Oreochromis niloticus: one gene and its partners. The protein of the gene in region 1 purifies or fractionates together with the protein of each later gene. This does not show direct contact. Links are inferred from orthologs where the notes say so. Each region holds a gene or a part of one and is shown in the gene's direction. Other genes may lie near its edges.

The links.
Region 2: the proteins of napab (region 1) and vps45 purify together in Homo sapiens (affinity purification with mass spectrometry; 3 studies listed by BioGRID and IntAct, with this or other methods). This does not show direct contact. The link is inferred for Oreochromis niloticus from reciprocal best matches to the Homo sapiens genes NAPA and VPS45.
Region 3: the proteins of napab (region 1) and use1 purify together in Homo sapiens (affinity purification with mass spectrometry; 3 studies listed by BioGRID and IntAct, counting the BioPlex papers as one, with this or other methods). This does not show direct contact. The link is inferred for Oreochromis niloticus from reciprocal best matches to the Homo sapiens genes NAPA and USE1.
Region 4: the proteins of napab (region 1) and napgb purify together in Homo sapiens (affinity purification with mass spectrometry; 3 studies listed by BioGRID and IntAct, counting the BioPlex papers as one, with this or other methods). This does not show direct contact. The link is inferred for Oreochromis niloticus from reciprocal best matches to the Homo sapiens genes NAPA and NAPG.

The regions. Positions count from the first base shown.
Region 1 is NC_031979.2:33,407,380-33,414,362, forward strand, and holds the start of napab (N-ethylmaleimide-sensitive factor attachment protein, alpha b), read left to right. Parts: upstream 1-3,972; 5' UTR 3,973-4,121; coding exon 4,122-4,219; intron 4,220-5,634; coding exon 5,635-5,714; intron 5,715-5,821; coding exon 5,822-5,938; intron 5,939-6,983. UniProt on the Homo sapiens protein: Required for vesicular transport between the endoplasmic reticulum and the Golgi apparatus. Together with GNA12 promotes CDH5 localization to plasma membrane.
Region 2 is NC_031985.2:38,208,339-38,215,881, reverse strand, and holds the start of vps45 (vacuolar protein sorting-associated protein 45), read left to right. Parts: upstream 1-4,520; 5' UTR 4,521-4,671; coding exon 4,672-4,764; intron 4,765-4,870; coding exon 4,871-5,005; intron 5,006-5,091; coding exon 5,092-5,152; intron 5,153-5,587; coding exon 5,588-5,667; intron 5,668-6,485; coding exon 6,486-6,554; intron 6,555-6,691; coding exon 6,692-6,829; intron 6,830-7,060; coding exon 7,061-7,171; intron 7,172-7,397; coding exon 7,398-7,532; intron 7,533-7,543. UniProt on the Homo sapiens protein: May play a role in vesicle-mediated protein trafficking from the Golgi stack through the trans-Golgi network.
Region 3 is NC_031986.2:44,592,935-44,600,052, forward strand, and holds the start of use1 (vesicle transport protein USE1), read left to right. Parts: upstream 1-4,095; 5' UTR 4,096-4,153; coding exon 4,154-4,252; intron 4,253-7,118. Other genes in the region: unconventional myosin-IXb, read left to right, coding at 1-244.
Region 4 is NC_031982.2:24,895,142-24,902,169, forward strand, and holds the start of napgb (N-ethylmaleimide-sensitive factor attachment protein, gamma b), read left to right. Parts: upstream 1-4,004; 5' UTR 4,005-4,116; coding exon 4,117-4,172; intron 4,173-4,357; coding exon 4,358-4,425; intron 4,426-4,535; coding exon 4,536-4,620; intron 4,621-5,713; coding exon 5,714-5,731; intron 5,732-5,816; coding exon 5,817-5,847; intron 5,848-5,945; coding exon 5,946-6,055; intron 6,056-7,028. Other genes in the region: rab12 (ras-related protein Rab-12), read right to left, coding at 688-916. UniProt on the Homo sapiens protein: Required for vesicular transport between the endoplasmic reticulum and the Golgi apparatus.

The DNA.
Region 1 (6,983 bases):
GTTCAAGCTATATTCAGTTAATGGGCCACATACAACTGAATTTGATCTCTAGTGAGCCACACCAGTAAAACAGTTTCACAATAAGATACGTTCCTGTTAATTTATTCAAGTACAACTAAACATTTAACATTTAATTACCTATCGATGTGCAACACTGATGAAGAACAGCCTATACTAGCTTACAGTATCTCTCTAAAAGCACAAAACCTTCTTATTCTGAGTGTTTTTAAACTGAACTAATGTATTATTTTACTCTTTATGACTCAAAATTTGTCAAGATACAGAAATACTTTCAATTCAAATACAGTTTAGTGTAGGGATTAAGCTGTAATGTAAAAATGGCATCACTTTACCAGGTCTAGAAATGCATTTTATTGAAAAATCACAAACATTAAAAATCTAAACATTTTTCTTGCTTCCAAAGCTATCCAGTAAGCTGGACTAACCATCATGGTCATTTGGTATCCAAAAAGACTAAGTTATATTTAAACACTCTAATTACTCTTAGGTAGTATGGGCTATATAGTTAGTTAATAACCATATTAATAAACATTTATGAAGTCCATCACATATGATATACAGAAAAGGTCAGTCGATAGTTTTTAATTTCAAAGTCCTCAATTTTCCCCTGTGTGTTTTTAACATTCAAATTATGAGTAATGACTCAAATCATTACATCACCTATCACTGTCAGATATTTCGGTGTCTTGTTAGGATAAAGCAGGCATGACGTGATAAATAACATATGAGGTCCTGAAATTATAAAATAATAATAAAGTTTACAGTTAAATACAGAAACTGATTTTCAAAAAATTAAACGTCTTTTAACACCTACACTTATCAACAACAGAAATCCCCATGTGGTAACGAACCCATAGAGAGACCAAGCAGAACTCATATTTGTTAAAATCCGAGAAAACAGCGGATGGCAATAGACAACAAACTGAAAACGCGCGGTTTTCGCTCCGCCTGCAAAGATTTCGAGAACGGGCTCTCGCCTCCCGCTGAATTTACCACAACTCAAAACACCAGCTGTGCCTTTCGTTTCCAACAACACGAAAATAACATCTCAAATCAGCTTCCACAAGTTTACCGAGACCAATAAAGCGACCGTACACCCAGTTGCCGCTCTGAAGCAGCAGCAGATCGTAGCCATTGCTCAGTTAGAGCGCAGCTAGTACGCAGGATATGAATGGAGTCACTGCAAGCGGCTTGCTACATGCTAGCTAGTGTTTTCAAAAAGCTTTGCATGTATATTTCGCTTATTACTCACAACACGGAGTATTTTGTAGCCACACTGCGGACTTAAGACTCTAATTTAACAAAACGTTTAATTTTAAACCACTGTTTTGCCTCTATTTTCAGTCATTTTAACGCATCTGGGTTGACTTTCGTTAGCCTAGCTAGCTAACCAGCTAAGCCAACAAGCTATCAACAATATTGAGACGTACAGCTAGCTTGAGGCTTTGACATTCAAAACAAACCAGCGAGTGACACAATTTTAACACTCCTACTGCACAACGATGCCTCGATTTGACAAAGGCAAGGCAGTATTGTCTGCTTTGAAGCGTAAATGCAATTGCGTAGCTAGCTATCTCTCCTTGTAAGCAAAATATGAGTTAATGTTGGAATACTCTTGGATGAGGGGGGTATGCTTGGGAATTCGGTGGAAAATGAGCATGTTCGCCGGTTCGTGCGGCAGCGTGGCGCTTCGATTGCGGTAGCCGTGCAGTTCGCGGCTCGCGTGCAGTTCGCGAATATTGCAGCTTTGTAACAGTTTTTTGGATTAATAGAGAAATTGCTACATTGTAACAAACTCACCCGAGACGATAGAGGTGCAGGCAGCGCGGGGTCTCCAGGACAGCCTCGCACGGGCTGCTGTACAGGACCCAACTACAAGGCAGGAAACAGGAGACTTCCGGTTTGCCTGATTGAAATCTATTCCTCCTGCGTGTACCGTGGCAGAACTTTTCTTTCGACGTGCTTAGCAAAGTTTTTCGTACATTTAAACACCTTTCTCAGTAAATTTGTGGGGCTGTTTTTGTTCGTAAACCTGAAGTCTGAAGTCTTTTTTTAGGAAAAACGACTGGAGATTTGCAGCTGATATCGCGCGAAAAGCTAACCCTTGATGTTTAAAAACGAAGTAAATAGCACATACCTGGAAACGTCTAGGCCTGATAAGGCACATCCCTGATACAGTAGCAGGGCACTACTAAAAATTACTAATTTGTGCATCCTTTAATATAAAATAACTGAAGTTATGCATTGCTTTTCACTACTAATTATTTGTGTCCTCTAAAACTTCGTCTTGTAACTCCCTTATTCTAATGTACCTCCATTTAGGTATTTGTGGGTAAGTATAATTGGATTATAATTTCAAATAAAATACATTAAAATTAAATTTTTGCTACAGGGGGATTAGTCACAGACTATGCTATAAAGTGTTTATCAGTCAAAGTAGCCTAGTACAGCTCACAAAGCAAGCAGAAATAGTGTACCAGTTTACACAACAAATCTGATATGAATTATTTGTCTGATAATCAATATTCATATATACAACTAGGATACTACAGTTATACTGAAAAGCGATAAGGCATATTGTAGCATGTTAACTTTCCAAACAATGTTTAGTGTTCTGCCAACACCTGCTAATCAGGTTTGCTCACCTGGTCAATGTGGTGACCCTGAAGTATGCTGTTCAGCATTATAGTGTGCAAACGTTTCTATATGGTCCATATCAATAATATTGTTTGAGCACTGCTAAACAGAGCCAAAAGTAATTGCAAAAACACAAAAAAGACACAAATCACATGAGTAATCATGTCAGGAGAATTTGTCACAAGCTGCTACAAATAAAACCACAACTATCACTATTTTTTAACACTCCTTTTGCATGGAAATGAAGGAAAATAAAAGGAAATGAAGAGTTATTCCTCAGTGTGTGGTCACTTCTTTTCAGATTGTATGCCCCTAGAAAATAACCTCAACTCTGTTACAACTTGATGGCAGTTGCTGACTGGTTACGCTGAGAAGACATGCATGCAGTGCACTCGAATTTGTGGGGAACAGTTAACTGTTTTTATTTTTACTTGTTTTACTTAATTACTCATTACCACCATAATAATTATGGTTTTTTTTATTCATGTATTAGTTTATTTTTCTAAATAAGCCTTGATTGTCTTACTGTGTAGTAAAATTGTCAGGTGTGTGTGTGTTTGTGGGGGTAAGAGGGTGGTGTTAATTGCTTTGTGTATGTTGAACTGTTTGATTGTTCTTTGTTAAAACTTTTTTAAAACATATTTAAGAAATCAGTGGTATATGCAAACCATGAGAAGTACCACATGATATCACTTTAACACTTTAGTGTGTTAATAAAAATTAACATGTAATGTTACATGCAGTTCTAATGAACTGACTATCCATCCATCGATTTATTTTTAGGCTGGTCACAAACCAAGAACCATTGTGCTGGATATTATAGCTTGTTGATGTAACTATTTGTGATTACATATGCATATTTTGTATTCATACTGTATGTTTGAGTTATAGTCAAAAGAGAAAATGAAGGAGGCTATTTAATACATTTTTAGGGTTGTGTTTTATGAATAGAAATTTACTGTTATGACACCACTTAACTTTACAGCAGTCTCTGTACAGCTGTGATGTATTCTCCTTTACATTAATGATGATTAGAAACACTAGATGTAGTTGTTAGCTGGTTAGCTGGATAGACTATGGAATAATCCAGTTCTAGATTTTCATACCAGCTCATACCAGACAATAAACAGATATTCCAAAGTTAGAAAAAGGAAAGCTCAGTTTACTGAAACAAAGTCAATAACTACACTAAAACCATACGAAGATTTAAATGTAACTTTAAAAAAAAAAAAAACTTCTAACGGTTACCAGATATGACTAATATACTGGATAGCAAAAGAGTACTTGAATGCACCAGCAGCAACAGTAGTGCGTCGGTGCTCCTGTGTCACGTGACAGAGGTGATGGTTACTTTGCGGCTGGTGATGTGACAAGGTTAGCCTGCAGCCACTAGCAGTGGTTAGCGAGTTTGTTGACTTTTACATTTATTCGTTCTATCTCAGAAACAGAACGATTGCCTGAAAATGGATAACAGCGGAAAAGAAAAGGAAGCAAATGCTTTGATGGCCGAGGCTGAAAAGAAAATGAAATCGTCTCAGTCGTTTTTTGGAGCGTTGTTTGGGTGAGTCTGTCAGCTAGCTAACGTTAACGTTTGGCTAAAGGAGACAGCTATGCGGAAGGTTGGGAGCTGACCACAAGGGTTAAAAGCCAGGACAAAACGATTTTAAATAACTGTTGATTGCCTTTATAAGTTGTAGTTACTATTATGCGGTTATTTTCAAGGCTGTCGTTTAGCATAGCTACCTTTTCTCGGCTCGTCGTATAACTGGAAAGCGTTTAGTGTGAAAGATAGCTGGAAATAGTCGGTACATGCTCATTTTAGACTCCGCTTTAAGGCAGCTTTCATGCTAGAAATAGATTCAGTTGAACCCAAAGCTGAATTGTTTAACATTTTAAGATAATTTCACTTAATTGTAAAGGCAGCGCCTCCCCTATAGCGCCGTCTGTTGGGCAGTTTTCGGAAGGCCACTCAGTCCAAATCACGTGTCATTCACATTTGTTTACAGCAAAAGAAGAAAACGTACTTGTGATGTAGCGAAAGTGCATGTAAGACTAGCTCTCACTAACCTGTACAACGGGCTTTGCATATAACAACCTAAATGCAGGTTAATTTTTCAGGTTGGATTTTTTTCTTTTATTGTAGCAGGAGCTCACGTGCAAGGTTAAAGGCTATGTGTTATGTATGAGGCTGTAAAATCCGCGAGGGGTTTGTGGCGAAACTTGAAAATGTAATTGTCAAGATAGTTGTGTGTGGGTAATGGGACTGAAATCACAAGCAGAGTCAACACTTTTATATTTCTACTAATAAACGGTTTTACAAACCTTTCCTCACTATAAAATAGTAACTTAAAGAAAGTTTAAAGGATTGCACACTGAAGGCAAACATGGTCTTTTGGCGTCACTCAATGAAAAATCAGTGAGTGCCGGCTGGGAAAAGGACCGCTATAACTTGTTTCGACCAGTGACTTATTTATAAAAAAAAAAAAAAAAAGTAGATCAAATATTTCGCATGCCAATCCTTGTTCCTCTTCCTCTATGTTATAGGCATTCAGTTGAGGCAGTTGTACTATTTAAATTATAACATATCCCATAATCATTATGAGCAAAAATTAGATTTTGGCTTTAGATTGTGAGACTTGGGTGTGAGAGTGGGTTTCAAAATTGATTTGGTCGCTGTTTTGAAACGGACTTAAATATGTTTGTCAGCCCTGAAAATTTCAGAAGGCGGGCTTCTGTACATGTGAAGTAATGAGAAAAAAAATAATAAAAGGAATAAAGTTTTGACCCATTGCTTTTAAAATATTCATAATATGGTGCTAAAATTTTGCATGTAAGTATACTAAAAAGAAAAAAAAATCAGCTGATTATACATCTTTCCAAAGGGATTTTACCGAGTGAAGTGTTTATATCATCCCGTGATAATCTGCAATGGATGGATGTCTTATTAAGAAAAAAAAAACATGTTTTGTCACACAGTGGCTCCTCAAAGCTGGAAGAAGCCTGTGACATGTTGGTGAGGGCAGCCAACATGTACAAAATGGCCAAGAATTGGTGTGGTAAGATGATTGTCACATTTCAACACAACAAATGTATTGAATGCCTCTTTCTTTTTTTCCTATGTGCTTCAGTGATTTTAAAATGCAACAATTTATCTTCTTAATAGCTGCAGGAAATGCATTCTCCCAAGCTGCTCACCTTCACCTGCAGATGCAAAGCAAACACGATGCAGCAACCAACTTCATAGATGCTGGAAATGCCTTCAAAAAAGCAGATCCACAAGGTAAACTATACACATCACTTTGGGGTATATAATATAGATGAAGTACACTTGTAAGTTTTACACCTTTTCATATAAAAGCTTTAGATAATGAAAGTGAAAATGGTTTAAAAATGTTATTAAATCTTTTATTTACTTTATTAAATCTTTAACGTCATACAAATGCTATAAACAGTGAAATTCCTGATTAGTGAGAGCATGTTTGAGGTACTCTTTGAGTACTTCAGTACTGTTGAGGTTTCATTCCTTCTGCTCCACGTGTCCTTCCATAAACTGAGGTGTCTGATGAGTCATTTGATTATTATGATATTACTCATCGAGTTTAAGCTGCTTCACCTGACAAACCTGCAGGACTGGCTGCAGATAAGAGAGTAATCATGTCAGGAGAATGATAATTTTGATAAATCCTAATTTGATTTAATTATTTAATGAGCACCCATCTATCTGCTGTTTATTTATCACATGACAGCTGCACATAAGTTCTGCATCAATAAAAGAAAAGCGGAAAAGAATTTGAGTAAATTTTATTTTATTTTTTTTGTTTTTTTTAAAAATTAATCTCATTATTTCATTTTAGCTGCTATGATTTAGAGATATTAAAAGAGTGCCACCACGTGGCATTAAAAACTTGACGTACGATACTTCATAGTCGTGAGTAGTGCAGTGAGTTTGTCTGTAAGCCTTTAAATGAGACTTAAATATCAGCATTCTAAAGTTTTCCTTGTGCTTTGATGCCAATTTTTGTACTGCTGAAAACAGGGCGTTATGAAAGTGCAGGCATTAATTAATATTAATAATAATAATTCAGTGTCCTATCTAACAACCCACAGGGCAGTGGCTAAGAGTTTAATGAAAAAAAGTTTTTTATTTTTAACTATTAATGCAGTTTCATTAACACAGTATTGTATATTATTTCACTTTCAGTCTGAAAAATGTTACAAAAGCCATGAAATAAATATGGTCTAGTACACCCCATTCCCCAGTTTAGACTCTCCCTGTTACTGCAGATTTTTCACCATGTAAAACAAACGGCAGTGGATGGAGCAGC
Region 2 (7,543 bases), on another chromosome or scaffold:
CTTCAATACAATCCGGCCCTGTCTGCTCCAGGAGAAACTAAACAGGATGCAGGTGGACCCCTGCCTGGTCGCTTGGATCTCCGACTACCTCACTGACAGACCACAGCACGTCAGGCTGAAGGACATCACGTCTGACCCTGTGGTCAGCAGCACAGGTCTTCACCTCTGACTTCTGTTACAACTCTGAATTATGGCATATTCGGAAGTTTGCGGACAACACAGCCATCATGGGGTGTATCTGGGATGATCAGGAAGAGGAGTACAGGAGTCTGGTGAGGAACTTTGTCACATGGAGTCACACAACCCACCTGCAACTCAACACCTCAAAGGCCAAGGAACTGGTTGTGGACTTCGGGAGGTCCAGAGAAGGTCCACTGCCGGTTCAGATAGAGGGAGAGGAGGTGGAGGTGGTCACCACATACAAGTACCTCGGGCTGTGGGTGGACAACAAACTGGACTGTTCACACAACACGCAGCAGCTGTATAAAAAAGGCCAAAGCCGACTGTATTTCCTCAGGAGGCTGAGGTCTTTTAACATCTGCAGGAAGCTCCTGAGGATGTTTTACCAGTCGGTGGTTGCAGGAGTACTTTTCTATGCTGTGGTGTGTAGGGGGAGCAGTACAGCAAAGAAGGACTCATCCAGGCTGGAAAAACTGATCAGGAAGGCTGGCTCTGTGGTCGGCATGAAGCTGGACACTCTGGTGTCAGTGGCAGAGAAAAGGACACTAAAGAAACTGCTGGACATTATGGACAATGCTGGGCATCCTCTGCACACAGTCGTAAACAACCAGAGGAGCCTGTTCAGCGACAGGTTGCTTCTCCCAAAGTCAAGAACCAACAGACTTAAAAACTCCTTTGTCCAACATGCCATCAGACTGTTTAACTCCTCACTGGAGGGGAGAGGGAGGGGAAACAGGAGGACAAAGGAGGGCGGGAACAACTGAGCTGTAGGTGCTTTTTAACACTGTGCAATATTTGTTTTGTTTTGTTTTTTTTCTTATATTCGACTGTGTTATATAGATACAGAATATTGTATATTCTGTATCTATATATGTGTATATATGGTGTATTTATGCTTATATCCTTACTCTCATTCCCCTTTATTGTATCTGTAACATGCAACTTCTTTCGGTGCTTTGCTACTGGAAACTGAATTTCCCGGAGGAACCCACCCGAGGGATTAATAAAGTTTCATCTAATCTATCTAATCTGATAAATACAGATTCTTAGACATGGCAGTTAGTTAAGTGAATCGAGATAATGGAAGGATAACCTGCATATGCAGAACTCATTTCACTGTACAGAATTGTTTGTTTGTTTGGGTGTTTTTAACCTTCATCATCCATTTCTTGCAGGACCTCTTCCTCCTCTTCATTACATTTCATCTCCTGGTCAGCTGTGCCTCCTGCTGGCCTCTCCACCTCTGTTGTCATCTCCTTGCCTGGTGGAAGGACACACCTGTGAGACAAACCTGCACAAAAACTAGAGGTCCAAGTCAGTAGTTAGCAGCCAGCTAGCAGCTAGAACCACCTCTGTCAGCGTGCACCCATCAGTCAAACATGCCTCTAAAAATGCAAATATTAAGCCTTAATCCAATTTCAACAGGTGAGTTATAAAGCATATAGTTAGGGCTGGACCAGGTGACCCTGAATCCTCCCTTAGTTATGCTGCAATAGACGTAGGCTGCCGGGGGATTCCCATGACGCATTGAGTTTTTCCTTTCCAGTCACCTTTCTCACTCTCTATGGCTACGTTCACACTGCAGGCGAAAGCGCATCAAATCCGATTTTTTTTTTGACCCTATGCGACCCATATCCGATCATGGTATGACAGTGTGAACAGCACAAATCCGATATTTTCAAATCCGATCTGGGTCACTTTCGTATGTGGTACTGAATCCGATACGTATCTGATGTGTTAGAAAGCGACTGCTGTTTGAACGGTCATGTCGCATTAAATCCGTCTTTTACATCACTGACACAAGACAGATGCCAATTATCAGCGCCGGAGAAGACATCGCGAACGCTTCCTGGCCATCCAGTGTAGATGTCAGTGAAACTGTTGGGAAGACAACGTGAACATTTTATTTGTACTGTATAATCTGCAGATTATCCTTTGAAGCACCGCTCCTCTAAAACAGCAATAAGGATCATTATTAGGTTATTTACATTATTATGTAAATAACAGAATAATTTAAAGCAAAAATTGGGAAACAAAGTCTGAAGTCTTTATATTAAGGGCCATCAGTCAAACAATATTGTTTGCTCTGGGTCTAAACAGAGCGAGTTGTGTGTGACATCTTCTTTTTAACATGCGGGTCGCTTTGAGCGTTCACACTAGAGCGCGTTTGCTGTCGCATTTTATTTGTAGTGTGAACAAGCAGACAAAAAAATCGGATTTGATCAAAAAATCGGAATTGAGCATTAAGACCTGCAGTGTGAACGTAGCCTATGTGTTAATAGACCTCTCTGCACTGTATCACACTTGTTATTAATCTCTGTCTCTCTTCCACAGCATGTCTTTATCCTGTTTTCCTTCTCTCACCCCAACCAATCACAGCAGATGGCCCCGCCCCTCCCTAAGCCTGGTTCTGCCAGAGGTTTCTTCCTGTTAAAAGGGAGTTTTTCCTTCCCACTGTCGCCAAAGTGCTTGCTCATAGGGGGTCATATGATTGTTGGGTTTTTCTCTGTATCTATTATTGTAGGATCTACTGTGCAATATAAAGCGCCCTGAGGCGACTGTTGTTGTGATTTGGCGCTATATAAATAAAATTTAATTTAATTGAATTGAAAGTTATAAAAACATTCATCAGGTACAGTTGTTCTGAACAGGGAGATTATCTATAGAGACCTCATTTTTAATACAGTCTAATAAACCAATTCTGCAATTCAAACAGGACATCAGTCAAAATAAGCTTTATAAAAGTATTTCACAGGGGGTTCCTAACAAAGAGCATGTGGCTAATTATACCAATGTTATTTTTGAACACAAAAGGAAATCTCAAACTAAAATTCTTTCCTTTTGGTTTAAATCTTTGAAAACAAATTTTAAAAAACTAAATAAACAGTAAAAGCTAACCCAGTTTACTGTTGCAGCTCTACACAGATCTGAAGCTATTTCATTAATAAATATGTCAGCTGCCCTGTATGAGCATTCTGCTAGTGGTTATCTCAAAGTTAGCAGTGCCAACTTCATCAATAAGGAGCTCCTATTAATATTTTATTTTCAACAACAAAGGGATTTAATTAGTAGCTGATAGAGGGAGTAGCTCAAAGTTGTTCTAGTTGACCCTAAACTCGATCAGAAGCAACAGAGCTTAAAATACATTAATAAATTCAGTTCATGAGCAAGTTTCAAAACTCAATAAAAACACATTCAGTAACCACAGCTGCAGCTTAGCATGCTAAAGCTCAACGACGTTTCACTTACTGATTTCTAACTATTAAAAGTTGAGTGATATGAACAAATCTATACACCGTTATTTTTCCCTACAGTCTCTCCACACTGCAGCTTAGCATTGAGCTAACTATGCTAACTAGCCGAGCTGCTAACTCAAAGACTTCAATAACTCTGGATGACATCCACTGAAAAAGTATACCAACCAGACGCTTACCTTATCCGGACATTTAATGTGCAAAATAATTATATATTCCGTTAAAATTCCGCCTGTGAACCGTGTGCTTTTCTTTTAGGAATAAAATGAATAATGTGTGGTCTTCACACACACGTTGGGGATGTTGTTTGCTCCTGCTAGCACAACCATATCCCTCCGCCAACAACCTCCTGTTAGCGCTGCTGCTGTTACGGGACTACATTCAGACAGAGCGGAGTGATACCTGTCCGTGGGGCTCACAGCAGCTGTTTTGATATGTGGCTTATTAAATGTTTTCCTCCTCGTAACCGGATGTTTTTGCTTATCGATGATAAATACGCTCAGTTTAAGCACCACACTCTGCCAGTTTAAGTAGAGTTCAGCTTCATGTCGGCACGCTAACAGTTGTTAGCATGCTTCTTATCTTTGGCATGCTAATGCTAAGCTAATTATTAGCAACACAGAGTTAATCGGTTTGGGACTGTTTTTATTTACAGAGTCTATAAACTCTGATTAAAGACATGAACGGCGAACATCAAAGGCTCTAATGTAACAGCTCCGGAATCTAGCTAAACTTTCCAGCCCAAAATGTCAGGATGGTTTGGCGATTCCTAACACAACAACCAACAAAATGTAAAAAGAAATCAGTAAATATATTTATATGTAAATAAGATACATGTTTACTAAGTCTAGTATTTGTTGTTGTTGTTGTTGTTATTGTTTTTGGCATAAATAAAGCATTTCATAAGTGGAATTGTGTAATTTATGTTTTTTCCATTTTAAAATTCGGACTGAAGGATGTTATTCTATGTCAGCCTAAAAGGCAATATCAACATGCATCATCATCATCATTATTATTATTATTATTATTATTATTATTATTATTACTAGTTTAAAAAAATCTCTCAGAACCCGATGACGCAAGCAGAGTGCGTGTGGCACGTGATGTCAGGGACCCGGAAGGAAGTTTGCACCAGTGTTGTTATAGCAGCTCCGCAGGTAAAGAGACGAAAAGCCCTCTCTGTAGCCGCTGCTCTTTGTTTATTTGTTTTTGTTTGTGGTCTCTGAGTGTCGCTATCATGAATGTGACGCTCGAGGTGAAGCAGTACATCTCCAAGATGATCGAGATCAGCGGGCCCGGGATGAAGGTGCTGCTCATGGACAAGGAGACGGTGAGGCACCGACCCAGGACTGTTAGCGGTGCTGGTGCTGAGCAGTGTTTACAGCAACGTTACTGTGTCTGATGGTGTCTGTGTGTGTGCGCGTCTGTGTGTTCAGACCAGTATAGTGAGCGTGGTGTACACTCAGTCTGAGATCCTGCAGAAGGAGGTTTACCTGTTTGAGCGGATTGACTCTCAGAACAGAGATAACATGAAGCACCTTAAAGCTATCTGCTTCTTGCGGCCCACCAAGGTACAAACCACCCTCTGAGTAACATTGTGTGTGTCTGTGTGTGAGGTAACACCATCTGCAACAGTGTGTTTGTGTGCTTGCTGCAGGAGAATGTGGAGCACCTGATCCAGGAGCTGAGGAGGCCCAAGTACAGTGTCTACTTTATCTGTAAGTTTCCACAGTGACAGGGCGGGAGTGAGAGGAGAACGGGGTTGCTGGTTTGGCACTCGTCTTCCTCGGACAGTTCAAACATAGTTCGGAAGCTAACATATGCAACTGAGTTTAGCTTTGCTGCAGAATCCTAGAGATCAGTGATGTAATCAGAAAATTCGTGATACACATGGATGAGGGCCTGCTACCAGCGAATCCTGCTGCTTTTAATGACGCCAGTCTGATTAAACACAGTGACACTGTCATCAAATGTGAGTCGTTTTCTACTTAGAGCTGTGGATTTGTCAGCTGAGCAGATATCAGAGATTTTTTCTGTGGAGTTAGGTGTGGGGCAGAAGTTTGTTTCAGTCTGTTTCATCTGAAGTTCATCACCTGACTTGTGTGTGTGTGTGTGTGTGTGTGTGTGTGTGTGTGTGTGTGTGTGTGTTTCAGACTTTAGCAACGTGATCAGTAAGAGTGAGATCAAGGCCTTGGCTGAGGCTGATGAACAGGAAGTGGTGGCTGAAGTCCAGGTGAGTGTCAGGACCTCAGAGAAAGCGTGGGGGTTTAATATTTCCACATTACTGATGATGTAAGATCTCTCTGTCAGTCATGGCGGTTCATTTTTAGCTGAACTTGACTGCCAAAATACATCTTAACAACACGATAACTTAACAACGTCACTATTATTACAATGATATTAGTCCAGAGTCTTTTTCTCTCTTCACCTCCTTGTTGCATGTGGAAACCTGGTTCAGTCTTTGGACAGATCATTATTTCACTGATTTAACATTTCCTCTAATAATGCAATAAATACTTGTTTATAATCAGAGTTTCAGCTGACTAGAGCTACATTCAGCTGAAAGTGTTCCTCTGTGACGACTTCATTTGATGACATCAGTAACATGTAGCCCAACATGCTAAGTTTATGTATATGTATGTAATATGAAAGAATTCCTTGCTAGTAACATCCAGTTTGGCCTGCGTGACCATCAGTGCTCCATTAGCCTCTCATCATTTCTCCAAATGTCAGGTGAGATCCTCCTGATGCTACTGATAGTCACAAATGGAGGAGGAGCTTCCTATGGCGGTTTGTGGTCGGGCCGAGCTGTTTGATCAAATTTAATTTTAATGCAGACACAGAACAAAACTGTGCCGAGAATTCATAGGATGTCTTGGAAAGCTGTCCTCCTCCCTGCGTGAGCATCACCATCACTCTGCTTCATGTTTGGTGTGAACACAGTTCATACACCTGAGTGACATCATCAAAACCAAAATAGCAGAAGTATAGCTTACTGTGTGTGTGTGTGTGTGTGTGTGTGTGTGTGTGTGTGTGTGTGTGTGTCTGCAGGAGTTCTACGGAGACTTCATCGCCGTGAATCCTCACCTCTTCTCCCTGAACCTGCAGGGAGTCACTCGGGTAAGAACCACAAGGCCCTCAGCTGTCAGAGCTCCACCCTAAAAAGCTCCACACACTGAAATCACATCACCTCTGTGTGTGTGTGTGTGTGTGTGTGTGTGTGTGTGCGTGTGCGTGTGTGTGTGTGTGCTTTTTAGGGGCGGAGCTGGGAACCCTCTATGTTGGCACGCTGCACTCAGGGATTGACCTCCGTCCTGCTTGCTCTGAAGAAATGTCCAATGATCCGCTACCAGTTGTCCTCAGACATGTCCAAACGGCTCGCGGAGAGCGTCAAGGTTTCCACAGCATCATCATCACACACGTCATCACTGAAAAGTGCTTTTAATGCCACTACAGGTTATTTTAGCGCCGTGTGTCCTGTTGGCTGTTCGAAGATGATGCCACCTCTGTGCTGTAACCTGAGCCCTTTGGTTAAAGCACTTGAGCCTCAAGCTGTTAACACTTTTACTCAAGTAGTACTCTGAGTAGTACTTTTATTCTTCAGTATTTTATTTGTTTGTTGTCAGCAAATCATCACGAAGGAGTACGAGCTGTTTGACTTCAGGAAGACTGAAGTTCCTCCTCTGCTGCTTATCCTGGACCGCAGCGACGATGCCATCACGCCGTTGCTCAATCAGGTGACTGGTCGCTGTCCTCTGTGACGTCGATGAAGAAATTAATTAAAGGAAATCATTTTACATTTTTAATAATTCTGTCATCTTTTACACTGCATCCTCTGCAGCTCATTTGTCACTTTAATTTGATGGATGTTGTGTGCCGCTACAAAATCAGCAAATCATAAATTCACTGGTTGTGTGTCTGTGTGAAGTGCATGCGTGTTTACGAGCTTTCGCTGTGTTGCAGTGGACATACCAGGCCATGGTCCACGAGCTGCTTGGCCTCAACAACAACAGGATCGACCTGTCCAGAGTCCCCGGGATCAGCAAAGACCTGAGAGAGGTGGTCCTGTCAGCTGAGAATGACGAGTTCTACGCCAACGTGAGTCTCAC
Region 3 (7,118 bases), on another chromosome or scaffold:
CTCGGTCAAGAGACGAGAGCAGCCCGGCCGCCGTAAAGACAGCACCCAGTCCCTTTACCTCGACGGCTCAGAGTGCGACTTGGTGCTGCGTTTTTCTTCCTGTCCTCCTTCAGCCGCCTCTTCCTCTTCTTCCATCTCCACGGCTGCGCCCACTCCTCAGCTCCAGCACAGCGGCACGAAAGTCCCAAATGTCCACAGACGGTTTTCTGACCCAGACATCCCGTATGTGGATGATGAAGTCTGAGCAGGGAGGAGCACAAACGACTGGAACGGCGAAGAGGATTAAGGGCGGCGACCCGCAAGCAGACAAACGAAACGAATTCAAACGCTCTCAGATTCGACGCAGGCGGCAGCAGAGCGCTCGGAGAGGCTGGAACTTGATGTGTGTATGAAAGGAAAGGAGAGACGCGACGACACGCGCAGCTGCTGCGGCTCCACATGCATGAACCCAGCTCACACAAACTGCAGCTGCTGCTGTCTGAGGGAACTCGATCAGCCAATGCAAACGTGTCGTTAGTAAAAAGGACTGGACCACATGTTGCCAAGCACCTTTTCAATCTTTTTAATATATTGTCCTCACTGTTGATTGCTTCAGTTGGACCAGAGGCAGTTTCCTCCCGTAGCCTCATAATGATTTTTTTTTTTTTAAATTTGTGCTAATTCAAGAAAATATTGCAGGTTTCAGTCGCACTTTTCATTTCTTAGTTCTCCCAGTGAGTGAAACTCGCTCGCTGAAACATTAGCTAGTGCCTTGATGTTGTACATTGACTTGATAAAGAAGCTCATTCTCATGTCACGATGATGGAACGGTGCTCGTAGAGGGAGGGATGTGTTTGTTGTGGAAAACAAGGACCTAAACCTGCACATTGTGACTGTTGCACACACACAAAAACAAACAGCTTTTTCTGTTCACCTTCATGTTTTACCCGCCGCACAACACACACCAGATAGGAAATCATTGCATTCATGCAGCAAAGGGAACGGGAGCAGCACACGCCACTTTCTCCACAGAAACGACAAAAAACCCACACAAACCCAGCCGTGATCCAAGAGCGGTGGCACCACGTGTCCTTGAACTTCCCCTCCTCTAAAATCACTCAGTCCCATTATTAGAAAAGTGCTGAAGCACAGCTCCGGCCAACTTTGTATGAAATGTAATACTAATGTTCCTCTCTGACTGCTGACGATGATGATGATGATGTATGATGATGTTGGTTTGTCTGGATTATGAGGAAGATGTTCTGATGTGTAACAGAGTGCATGGTGACTTTGACTGAATGAGCTGTAATGTTTATTAGTAGTAACATGAAAATACAGTACATGATGCTTGTAACGTCCGCTGCTGTGTGTTTCCATCACGCACAATTAGAACGTTTTTCTTTTACCCTGGAAACAGACGATGGTGATAAACAAGGGTTATTAAAATAAAACTGTAGGACGTTTATAAACTCTCCAGGAGTTAGTCTGCTCCAAATTAGGTTCATAGGTTGACTTGGACCTTCAGCACAGACAAAATGTAGTAACATGAAACTAGAAATACTGCACCTAAATTCAAAATTCATTCACCATAGACTCCCTTCATTGCATTAGATTAGGTACATGTTGCTAGTACTGGGTACAGACCACCTGGTGTGGTCTCCTGCTGGTGTAGCTCATCTGCTTCAGGGTTTAACATGTTCAGAGATGATCTTCTGCACTCCTATAAGCTCCAAGCTGTCAGGCCAGCCTCTGAACTTTAGCATCAAACTGCCCCTCGCTGGATATTTGCTCTTATTTGGATCTTTATCTGTAAGCCCCAGAGATGGTTGTGTGGGACAATCCCAGCAGATCAGCAGTCTTTGAAATCCTCACACCAACAACCACTTAAATCCCCTTTCTTGCTCATTTTGATGCTCATTTTGAACTTCAGCGGGTCATCTTGATTATATATTTAAATACACTGACTTGCTGCTGTGTGATTGGCTGATTAGATATTTGCATTAACCACTAGGTGAACAGGTGTACCTAATAAAGTGGCCGGAGTGTGTATGTTTAACATTTTGCTTTAAGATGGCTAAAACTCCCAGAGGTGGGTATAATTTTAGTCTTTCAGAGTCGTCCCTGCATTAAACAGTCATTAAAACTCGGGTCAGGTCTTCTTAAATGAGCCGCTTCTTTGTCGCAGTAAACTGCAGCCGTCTGCACAGACCTCACTGTTTTTGATTTTGTGGGTGTTTTGTGTGGAGTGGAATTGATGCACCTTTAGCACACAAAGGCTCCACAGTTCAGGATCAGCTGCCACAATGCAAGATCTGTTTTTCAAGTGATGTCATACGAGTTATTTCTTCAGACTTCATAAAGCTGCACCAGAGCCGCACACAGGAAATTACACCAACATGAGTTTTAACAGTGTCACGCAATGCGCCCCTTGAAGTGGTTACATTTATTTTTACCATTTTTACGCCCTGAACTGCGGTCAGCATTTTCCTTCCTGGTCGTGGGTGATTTATCAGCCTTGCACACCATCCACTGTTAAGCAAATTAAAGTTGATGTAGTTTCACTTACCTCCATGCAGGTTGGTATACGTGAGTATTGATAGATGATTGTTTTCCTCTCTGCACCACCCTCACAGCTGGGCATGTTCAGGTTGAAGGGCGCTGCAGTGGTAGTTATGTGAGGTCTTTATAATTATTTGTTAATCTAGTTCAAAGTGTTTATCCCACCTAACAGGTGCAAACAAAGTCCTGAAGCGATCAAGGCCTGAACAGACTGGGACTATTTTTTTGACATGAAGACTAAAATTGCTGCTCTGAGGATTTGAACGGGCTGTGTCATGTGACCTGCCGGACTGCAGACAGACCACCTTCTTGAACTTTATCCACAGGAATCCACAGATGCCTCATATCTGGAAAACGCCTTTAGCAGCTCCAACTTCAGCCCACTGGTGGTGCAGAAGTGTCTGAGCCACAGATAAGAACCTTGGTGAGAAGATTCAGACAACTGTCTCCAATCTGTGCTCCACACTGCAAAAATAGCTATGATTCTAGAAGCTGTAGATGATAGGCATAAGAAAAGGTCTAAACACTGAGTGCCCTGACTCATCTTTGCTGCGCCACTAAATAAAGTGATGCAGACAGTGTACTGAATGGCCTATTATACTTTACGCACTGTAGTATAGTGATAAGCACAACATGACTTTATATCAAGTGCTAATCTTTCATTCCATCTGTTTACATGTAAGGCAGTTTGAGTGTCATAGATACCGTACAGCAAAATATAACCCATGTTTTATAAAACAAAACATAATCAGTCAATATAGGCATACATGGATACTTGATAAACTATCAGGCCACCACCCAGTGCAATGTTTATTCCACAATTACCCTAAATTAACAGTACTGAAAATATCAAACTCATTTTCTATGTTTCTGTAACGGCTGAGCCACCAGTGTGTCCAAGCCTGACACTCAAAAATGATATTTTTCATTTTATTAATGTTATCTTTTACAAAAAAGCTGAAAAACAGCAAACCACATCATTATTATCATCATTATTATTATTATTATTATTATTATTATTATTATTATTGTTTAATGGCATTGCTGAAAAGAAAAAATCGTTGTTTTTTTTTGTTGAACGTTGTGCTTGACTCTCAGAGAAGTCCAGTATGGCGCCTCAAATTGGGGTATAAAAAAGTGAATTTAGTTTTTTATTTGCCCAATAAATAAAATTTTAAAAACAATATAACTTTTAGTTTTACCCAAATACATAAAATGGTTATGTTTGAGTGTTTTTATGGCAGTATTTTTTTAAGAACTGTATATAAACACATACAAAACATACATAAATAAAAAAAGTACTACATACAGACATGTTGTGGTTTTCGTGCCAGAATGGTGTGTTTTATATTTATTTTATTTTATTTCTCTCGAATAGAGAGAAAGAGATTAAGATAAAACTTTGGGGTCTAACGAGATCTTATTGATAACAACAACAACAATAATAATAATAACAATAATAATAATAATAATAATAATAATGAGTCTAGCTTTTTAAATTGAAATTTTCAATGACGACGTAAAAAAAAAGAGGCGGGCGACGCTCCGCCCATAACGTCTGCGCCGCTCTGCTTGACGTCAAACTGCTGCGCCGCTGTGCGGCTTCAAACCAAACATGGCTTCCCGACTAGAAATCAATTTCATCAGGTTATTGTCTCGCTGTGAGTCTTTGGCGTCGGAGAAACGGGGAGAGACGGAGTGGAGGCTTGAAAAGGTAACCCGGCACGGCTCGGAGCGGCTGTAACGACCATGTCGTGATGACGTTAGCCTGACTGTTGTTGTTGTGAGCCGCTGTTAGCCACGTCGTCACCTAAACCTTTCTGTTTGGTGTCGGGAGGCACATTTAAGCTGTTCACCCCTCGCGCACAGGTTCAATCATAGCCGAGATGTCACCGTAGCGACACACGGCGAGTCTGCGCAGTCTGCTACTCCAGATTTGCTGTATTTTAGTGTTTAATCTCGTTTCTGAAGCTTTCCTTTCACCTATGTTCCTCGCAGAAGATCCTCCGTATGTTCATATCTTTAACAGTAACTTTATTTATTTATAGCATTTTTTTAAAAAACGATCGGCTGCGAATCAGCTACAACCCGAGTTTTCCTCCAGCCGTCCAACCTCTGCTGCCTTATAGAAAGTTAAGTCAGGAGCTGCAGTCAGGTCATGTGCACCAGCGGGGTGTGATGCAGCCTCTAAATTACATCGCGATATTTTAGAGAAATATTTGCGATAATACTTATTATGCTATGAAAAATAGTGCGCATCATGTTGGGTGAAGGACATCCATCCACCCATCCTTTCTTCTTTTCCAGTGAGCTGCTGACCTTAAAGTGTGGCTTTTATTAAGCAGCAGTGTTGTAGTGCAGCAGCAGTGACACAGCAAAAGTCAAATGTAAGCACACAAGTACTCCAGGTAGTCCCAGAAAGTTGTTTCTGTTCATCTGGGCATTTTGTTTTCAGTGGGAGAAACAATTCATCACTCACCTGTGACTTCTTCCTCATTCTCACCTCGCTGCAGTTTTCCCCAGCCCTTTAAACATTTGCATATCATCCAAAACCAGCACCAGCCAAGTTTCATGATCTTTAATATACTATTGTCATAATCATTGATGGTGGGCGCGAGAACCATTCAGAGGTCACAGGGGAATGGTAGGTGAAAGGTGAAAGACGTACTCTTAGGCCCCCTCCTCGGTTCAGAGATGGTCTTTCCTTTTTCACATAAATGGCCTCCTTTACTCCTTACTCCTTTGAAAGCCGCAGAGTTGCAGTGAAATACTCTGGGTCGAGTTTTCTGTGGAAATTTAGTTTTTGTTAAACTAAAGTAACTTAAACTTGTAATTCTTAAGGAGGGCACATCCTGGCCAGGTGAGGTGTGTCACAGGGCTTACATGGAGAGACAGGTAACCACTCACACCCACACTGTTGATCTGTGGAACCAGCACACCCTAGACAGGGAGTCTGGATCGACTCCCTGTATAACTAATCTGATCTCTGAGTCTTAACCAGTAGGCAGTAGAGATCGTAGAGCCGATGGGTGAGGGGACTGGCCCGATTTAGAATCACCAGTTAACCACAGATGCATGTCTTTGTGCTGTGTAAACTCCACACAGAAAGGCCCCACACTGGATTCGAACCCAAGACACCGGCTCCTAGCATCTCCTCCTTCGTAGTGTTTGTGCCTCTAGTGGTGAAACATGTTTGTTGTTGCCACCTTCATCAGGAACAGCTCTCGTTCATATTTTGCAGAGCAGTGAAGTTGTTGAGTAGCTCCCTTATTAAGTCCTCACACTGCTCTCGTACTCAGATATGCTTGGGCGGGGCCTCAAATCAAAACAAGTAGTTGAACATTTTACCTCGATTAACATTAACAAAGGAGTTTCCTTTATTTACTTGTTCTTGCCCCCATAGTTTGCTGACAGGGTTTGACCTGTAAATGTGCTCAGCGGTTAAAGCTGCGATATTGTGATCGCGCTCCAGCTGTTGAAACAGATTGGTGGTCTTACCTTTGGACACTGAAACTGTGTTGAGGTCTTTTTACATCATGCTTCATGTCATGGAGGCACGTAACTGCGTGAACTCTCATTGGGTGAAATGTTAACAGAATTTAAATTTAAAACAAAAAAAATGACATGGACCAGATCACATCAGTTGGGGGTTCTGAACATCGGTTTTGATTTATTTTCAATTAATTACGCGGCTTGTGTTGTTTTGCTGGGAAACATAAATGCATAGAGTTGCTATATGAGACTTTTATAACGTAAAGATTTGTACTGCTGTTTTCATGGACGATGTGATTGTGGTTGTTCGGTGAAGGGAAATTACTGCTAACTTTTGTTACTAAAACTTTGACCACTAGGGGGCAGCACTACTAACAGGTTTCTTTTTAGTAACCGCTCCTCATGAGATCTCCTCTTTTGCCAGGCTGTCGTTTAAAATACAGACGTGCCTGTTTTTAAATAAAGGTTACAGTGACACACTGCACCCTCTTGTGGTGCAAAGTGGTATTACAACAAAGTGCAGCTTTTATCTTTGACACAGCACACATGTGTTTGGGTTAAATTCAGAGCAGTTGCCTGTTTAAATTCCACTGAAAGCTTTAATTTAGTTTATGAGGTTTAAATAGTGTGAATGTGTGTGTGAATGGGTGGATGTCTGGATATGTAAAGCGCTTTGGGGTCCTTAGGGACTAGAAAGCGCTATATAAATACAGGCCATTTACCATTTACCATTTTAAACCCAAGAATTAACAATAAGCAGCTTTAAAGGAACAGTAGCTGATTTAAATGTGTGACCTGCAGCTTTAACGCAAACGAGTAACAACAGGCGTCACCAGGCCACTTGGGACTGAATAAATCCAAACGCCTCTTCTCGGTGACCTCGTGTCACGGTGTACCGAGTGGCTCCCTACAGCTGAGCAGTGAAGACCCTTTAATCTGAACCAGCAGGATAAACCAATCAGCTGCTTGATTTTTACTTTTAGAGTAGATGAAAGGTTCGAGTAACTAAAGTAACAACAGTCAGTACGACCCTGACAGCTGTCAAACACTTTCTTCTTGCACTGCTTCCTCCTTATTACATTTATCAT
Region 4 (7,028 bases), on another chromosome or scaffold:
ATCTCATGTATATTTTTAATCTGCAAACACGACTGGCAATTTGTCACAAGGCAATCTCGTGTTCAGTAAGTAAACATACCAGTGGTCAAATAATCAAATAATTAAAGAATGTGTTTTTATGTAGAAATATGCAACATGTTAGTTCTCTGTGTAGAGATACATCAGTAAAATCAAGGTGGTATTGGATAAGACTACTTCCTGGTTAACATAACCAAAACAGGCTAACTAGAAGTAAACATAGTAATTCAGACCCATAATACCTATAATATAATATTCTGCAAATATTATCAGAACAGTAATAAAGTACAATTATTCATTCGTATTTAATTAATAAAAACGCTGTCCTTTAGCAGAAGTCTAAAATCTCTACATGCAAACGTTAAAAAAAGCTTAAGGAAACCTAGTTCATGTGATTGAAGTCAAAGGAAATGCTATTGTTACTTCAGTCACCATGGTCAACTGGCTAAGATACTGTTATCAACATACCTAGCGGGCTACAGCTAGCATTAGAAATAAAGTTTAGTCGCTATGCCAGTGAACTTGGAGGATTTATGGTCACTGGGCGCACCCCACAGTAGTTTAAGCATTTCTCCTCGAGTATTTAGCCGGAGCCGTTCTACATGTTTTAGCTGATTAAATGAAAAGTTGTCAAAAAAAACTAAACCTTTTAATGCCTTCTGTCCTCACCTACGGTTGACTTGCAAGCTTCGCAGAAAGTGTCGTCGGTAAATCTTTCCATGAGACTTGTTTTACCAACACCACGAGAGCCAATAATGATAATCTGAAGTTTGAAATCAGCGGGTCTGGGAGGCATCTTCCTGCGGCGTGACTGAGCCCCCAGAGCGGGGGACGAGTTCGCGGAGCCCCCGCCGCCACCGCCGGCGGCCCTCCGTGGAATATCATACCTCGGATCCATTAGTAATCCCACATTTGTGACTATAAGACGAACAGACAAATAACCCTAACCGGTTATAGAAGCAACACAAGCCGGTATCTCTAACTTTCTTTTGTCTCTGATGAAGTTTGCGAAAGTTTGTCAGTCGCAGACAGTTGTTGTTGTTCAGCCATTAGAGACCGGGGCCACCGTGATGTCATTTCCGCTTCCGGTGGCTATGATTTCCATTTTTATACATTTTTTTAAAATTATAAACAGAGACCGTTTAATCACTTGTAATCAGAATGAATTACTTTTACATGTTTTTTTGATTTATTAAACGTTTTCAATAAAAAAAGGAACCAAATATTAGGCCTGCATGTAGAGAGACCTACTAGGTCTGCATGTTACAAAGAATGGGATCTTGAATAAGAGTTCTGGTAAAAAACAAACAAACAAACAAACAAACAAACAAAAAAACAGGGCACATTCTCTTATAATGTCAATTATAAGAGGATGTCAATTATATCAATTATAAGATTTCAGTGCATAATCTGGTCCTTATTAGGTCTTACAATTGGGTAAATAAAGCCTCAGAAGAATTACAAAACATGACATATTATACCCTGTAATTATTTATTTAACAAAAATTAAGTCAAAATATAGAGGTTACATGGTAAAAATAAATACACCCTCCCTTCCCCCAAAAGAATTAAGAGGGTAAGTAGAGGTCAGATCCTGGTAATTAAGTGCCCTTGATTATTTAATCACCAGCAACTTCTGAGCATTTCTATAAAAGACGTTTTGGCAGTTTGCTAGTCTGGAGCATTCGGGTGTGTGTTAACACAATGCCAAGAAGGAAATACATCAGCATTGATCTTACAGAAACAATTGTTGCTTCCCATCAGTCTTGAAAAGGTTCTAAGTCCATATGAATTTCACTGAATTCCATCATTCTACACCGAGAAAGATTATTAACAAGTGGAAAACATTGATATCAGTTGCCAGTTTGTATTCAGAGTGGATGTCCAAGCAAATTAAGCACAGGCTCTGGGACTTTGCAAAAAAGAAAAAACAAGAACTACAAATTTCACAGACCTCAGTAAGCATGTTCAATGTTAAAAGTTCATGACAGTACAATTAGAAACAGACTGAACCAATATAGCTTGTTTGGAAAGTTTGCCAGGAAAAAGCCTCTTTTCTCTAAAATGAAGACAGCACGGCATTGGTTTGGAAAATGGCCTCAGAATAAACCACGAGACTTCTTGTGGCATGTCTGGCAAAACCAAACACAGCATATCAGCACAAACACCTCACACCAAATGTTAGCACGGCTGCAGATTGGGCTTGTTTCATAACCACAGGACCTGGACTCCTTGCAGTCATTGAGTTGATTATGAACTCCTCTGTATACCAAAGTTTTCTGAAGTCAGTTGTGAAGCCATCTGTCTGACTGAAATTGGTCATGCAACTGGAGAGTGAGCCCAACATATAACACAATGACTGACAAAAGAAAATAATAAAGGTGTTGCAATGTCACAGTCAAAGTCTGGAATTCAATCTGATCACAGTTTTGACCTTAAGAGAGCTGTGAATAAAATGATGCCCCGCAAACCTTTATTATTGCTTCAAACTATTGCTATAAAAGGTGCTACTGAATCATGGGGTGCATTCAGTTTTTCACACACTGTTTCTACGTTTACTTAAATAATGGCACAATGTAATACATCATGTTTTGTTGTTCAATTCAAGCTGTATTCATTTAAACTTAAGACCTACCAATGACTAATTCATTTTTTTTGCAATATCCTGACATGTAAAACCTTAGAAAAGGGGGCAGATATACTTTCTTTTCACCATGAAAAAAAAACGTTTTCTTTTTGTATCACAACTGAGATTCTTGATCCCTTTAAAGCCCCTGTAGGTAAATTTGTGATATGTACAAGTTTTATTTGACTTGAGGTTGCAGTCCAACAAACAGGACTGTGAATATCTAGTGTAAGTGTGAAGAATCAATGCAAGTTGTCCTGTTTTCTCACAGTCATATAAAGCTCTCAGGAATTCTGCTCAAGTGTATTTGATTTAATGTTTGGCAAGGAAAAAACAGTAAAGACCACAAGGGAAAGTGCAGTTTGACAAAGAGAACAAAAGAGCACTGTCCTATAAAGTTTGACGTAGCTCTCATAAGCATGGCAAACTGACTATCTGGTGCTTTGCCAATGGTATTAACATGTACGGGTTCCATACATTCACTCCACACACATCTGGAAAATGTTAAAGAGGCCCACTATGTCAAGTTGCTATAGCCTCCTGCGCCTTCACTTGTCCTCAGCTACGAAAAAATAACAAAAAAAAAGTACAGAACCAGTATGTGATTGCAAATTTCTGAATGAATACAAGATACTTAAATAAATACACTGTGAACTGAAGATAATCAATGGGCCCACGCCCTGACTTAACAGTGCCTATTCGCTCCCTGATGGAAAGTTACAGAATTAGTTGTGGGTGGTTTTTTTTGTTGTGCCTGCAACCTTACCAAACACTGGTGGTGTCATGGTGTTCTGTTAGACCTGTTAGTCATGGAGGGTTAAGTTAAGGCCCTTGCAGTCCTGCATTAATTTAGCACTCTATTTTTCTTTATATTTACAAAACATATTATCAGCAAACATTAGACTGAAGCTTTGTGAAACTTCTGGAATTTGAAACCACACTGCAGACTCCCACGTCACCAGACTTTCTTGTGATTGCTTCCAAATTCATAATCCAGACTTTGAGCAAAGGCTGTTGTTGTTTTAAACTGAGCTTATAAATGAGTTGGTTTTAAAGCGAGGGCCTGAAAATTACATTGTTTGTAAACCCTAGACAGTAAACACCTAAACCTTGGGATGGGAATTAAAGCTGAAAGTCTGCACTTAAATCACACCTTGATCGTTTCATTTAAAAATCCACTGTGGTGGTGAACAGAGGGGAAATTGCCAAAAAATGTGCCATTATGGATCTGATTGTATAGTCTTTCATTTAAAAAACAAAAAGCAAATTCTTTAGCTGCATTACAGTACTAGAGCCAGATTTTCGCATTCCCTGCTGTTGTTTTTTTTGTCCAATGCGGCATCCGTAACTTGCGACAGCTGGTGACGTTGCGGCCGAGGAGGAGTTCCTGGTAATCCAAACATCGACGAAGCAACATCCATAGTCGTTTATCAATAACATATTCCTCATAACCGAGTTGATCGATCAACATCATGGCTGCTCAGAAGATAAACGAAGCGCACGAGCACATAGCTAAAGCGGAGAAATGGTGAGCGAGGACAAAAACGATTATTTCCTGCTCTGTAGTTTTACTACTCACGTTAGCTAGCTGTAAGGCCACTGTGTATTTTCTGTTGAAAGGTTATGCGACATAAAGTGACTTTATGGTTATTTATCCATCGCACTATAGTTGTATTATTCGTTTATTATTTGTTCCTCGTGGTGTGTTTACAGCTTAAAAACGAGTCTGACAAAGTGGAAGCCTGACTTTGACAGTGCTGCATCAGAATACGCCAAAGCAGGTAAAACACGAAACGACACTATAGTGCTTAAAACTGGAGTGGGTTTTTTTAATCTATATATTAAAAATATATAATTTCACAGTGAGCTAACCTCTGTGCTTTGTTTCTAGCTGTGTGCTTCAAGAATGCCAAGCAGTATGAACAAGCAAAGGATGCTTATCTGAAGGAAGCTGAGTACCACACAGAAAACAAAACGTATCCTTTCCCGATCAAAGGAAAGGCACAAGTCTGCATATATTCTGTGCAATCGCTAGCCACTTTGTTAGCTGCTCTTTAAAGCAAACCTTTAATCAGCCAATCAGACAACAGAAACACAAAGCGTGCAGGCAGTGTGGGGGTGTAACCGTTTTTAACCCTGCACCCTGGATCCTGTAATAGCTTGGTCCAGGGTACCTGCTTATCGCAGATTTAACAGTGTACCATAGTTATTCTCACTAGGGGTGTAAAAACTCTAAAACCAAGACCAGAAAGACTCTGGCACAAACATACACAATGTATTATAATTCTGTCATTCCATACTGTGAGACCCACGTGGAGATATTGCATAGAAATATTGAAATGTCATCAGTTTATAATGAAAGAATTAAGTGACAAGATTTGTGGCAAACTGATTATTTTCCCATATGTATTTTGTTATTCAACCTCTCAAGGAAAACTAAGATTTGAGCTAAAACCCTGCCATCAAACCCTGGTAAAACAAATCTGGCTTTGAAGAATTATTACACCCCTGATTCTGATGAGTTTTCATTTCATGAGCACTTTATACGTTGGCATGGATTCATCTTGCCTTGTGTCAAAAATCGAAGGAGGTCTTAATCCAACAGAGCACCTCTGGGACGAAGTTGAACAGTAGAATCACATTTGTAAGGTGCTGCCCAGAAATTTGTAACAACTGTAATCCTGCTGCGTCTCCAAGGACCCAAACCTCTGAGGAAGATTTCTAGCAACTTGTTGATTTTTGCTAAGAAGAATTAAAGCAGCTTAGAAGACTAAATGTGCTCCATTGTGGCTCGAACTATCTGTAACTAAATCAGTGGCTGCAGATTGTTTGTAATTTTCAAGAACAAATGTCAAACATGAGAATTAGCGTTCTTTCATATATGATTGTTTCTGATATGCATTTGTGTTTTAGACAAACAAAGATGATACTTTAGACTGTGGGAAGTTTGTATCAGGGGTTTAACATTTTATTAATGGAGAATGTAATCTGATTTATTGGTAAGCCATATATTTGTTAGTATGACACAGTTTCACTCTTGTTTGGCTGTTTCCTTAGCTTGTCCTTCAGGCTTTTTCATGCTGCAAAGTAAGTATCATGCTTAATAACCTGTAATATTGAAGTGGCTGCAAACATGGAAACACCTGTTTGACTCAAACTCTTCTTTCCTCAGGGCTATTGAACAGGCTGGTATGATGATGAAGGTGAGTGCAGCCACTCTAAAACCACAGTGACGTCATAATAAAGCAAATAGAGATAATGATTCAGTAGCACAATTGTAACTCTGCTGTGTTTGCATCAGGAACAAAAGAAAATGCCAGAGGCCATCCAGTACATAGAGAAAGCCTGCATGATGTACATGGAGAACGGGACACCAGACACTGCTGCCATGGCTCTGGACCGGGCTGGAAAGTAAAAATAATACTTTAATTTACTCTGCTGATCAGTGCTGACTTTTTAAGCACATTTTTCATTGGAATGGAGATATGAATGTATGTGATAAACACCTTTCAGAAGTCTGCCCGATAACTGATTAATGAGAAAGTCTTATTTATATGCACCATACATTCACTGCCAAAGTACAAGTGTTGTAGCTATTGGATGAATAGGTTTGTTGGGTTCTTTAGTAATTAAAAAGATGCAAGAACAGGATAATTGTAGCATTATATTTATGCCCACAGCTAACTAAAAGCTACATTTTCACTGTGATAAAGTGCTGCAGAAGTTTAAGGAACTCTTAATTCTAATTCTGTAGCTCAGCCGTTCCCAGACTTAAGACAGAGCCTTACCATTTTAAAATATGAACGTTTTCTATGGATCACCCAAACCTTTAATCACACTATCACAAGTGTTTTCTTTTTTGTGTTTTAATTTATTCATTTGAGCTTCTGCATTAACAGCTTTATTTCTGGGACCATCTTCATGTTAGTGTTTTTCTACTATTGATTGTTCAGGATCAAAATAGGTCAGAAAATTAATTATCTAATTTTGAAATTTCACGATATTGCTTTATTCATTCTATTTTTTTTATTTCTAAATATCTAATGGCAGTAAATAATATAAAATTGATTTATTGTAAATGACTTCATTGCCCACCTGCAGTTCCTTGGCAGCCCACCTGGGGGCTACGGCTCACATTTTGGGAATCGATATTCCCAAAATGTAATATTTGTTTATTTACCATGACCCATTTTGTCATCTCACAACTGAACAGTGTTAGATAGGCTGAAGGTCATTTTATCATTAACATGATAAGCTGCCAGCTGCTGGCTAAGGCACAAGTGTGATCACATAGTTACTCCCATGATGCATATTCATGTCCTCTTTATTATACTAAAAGGTAGCTTTTTATTCTCAGAAACTGACTTTCAATTCCAATAAAAAT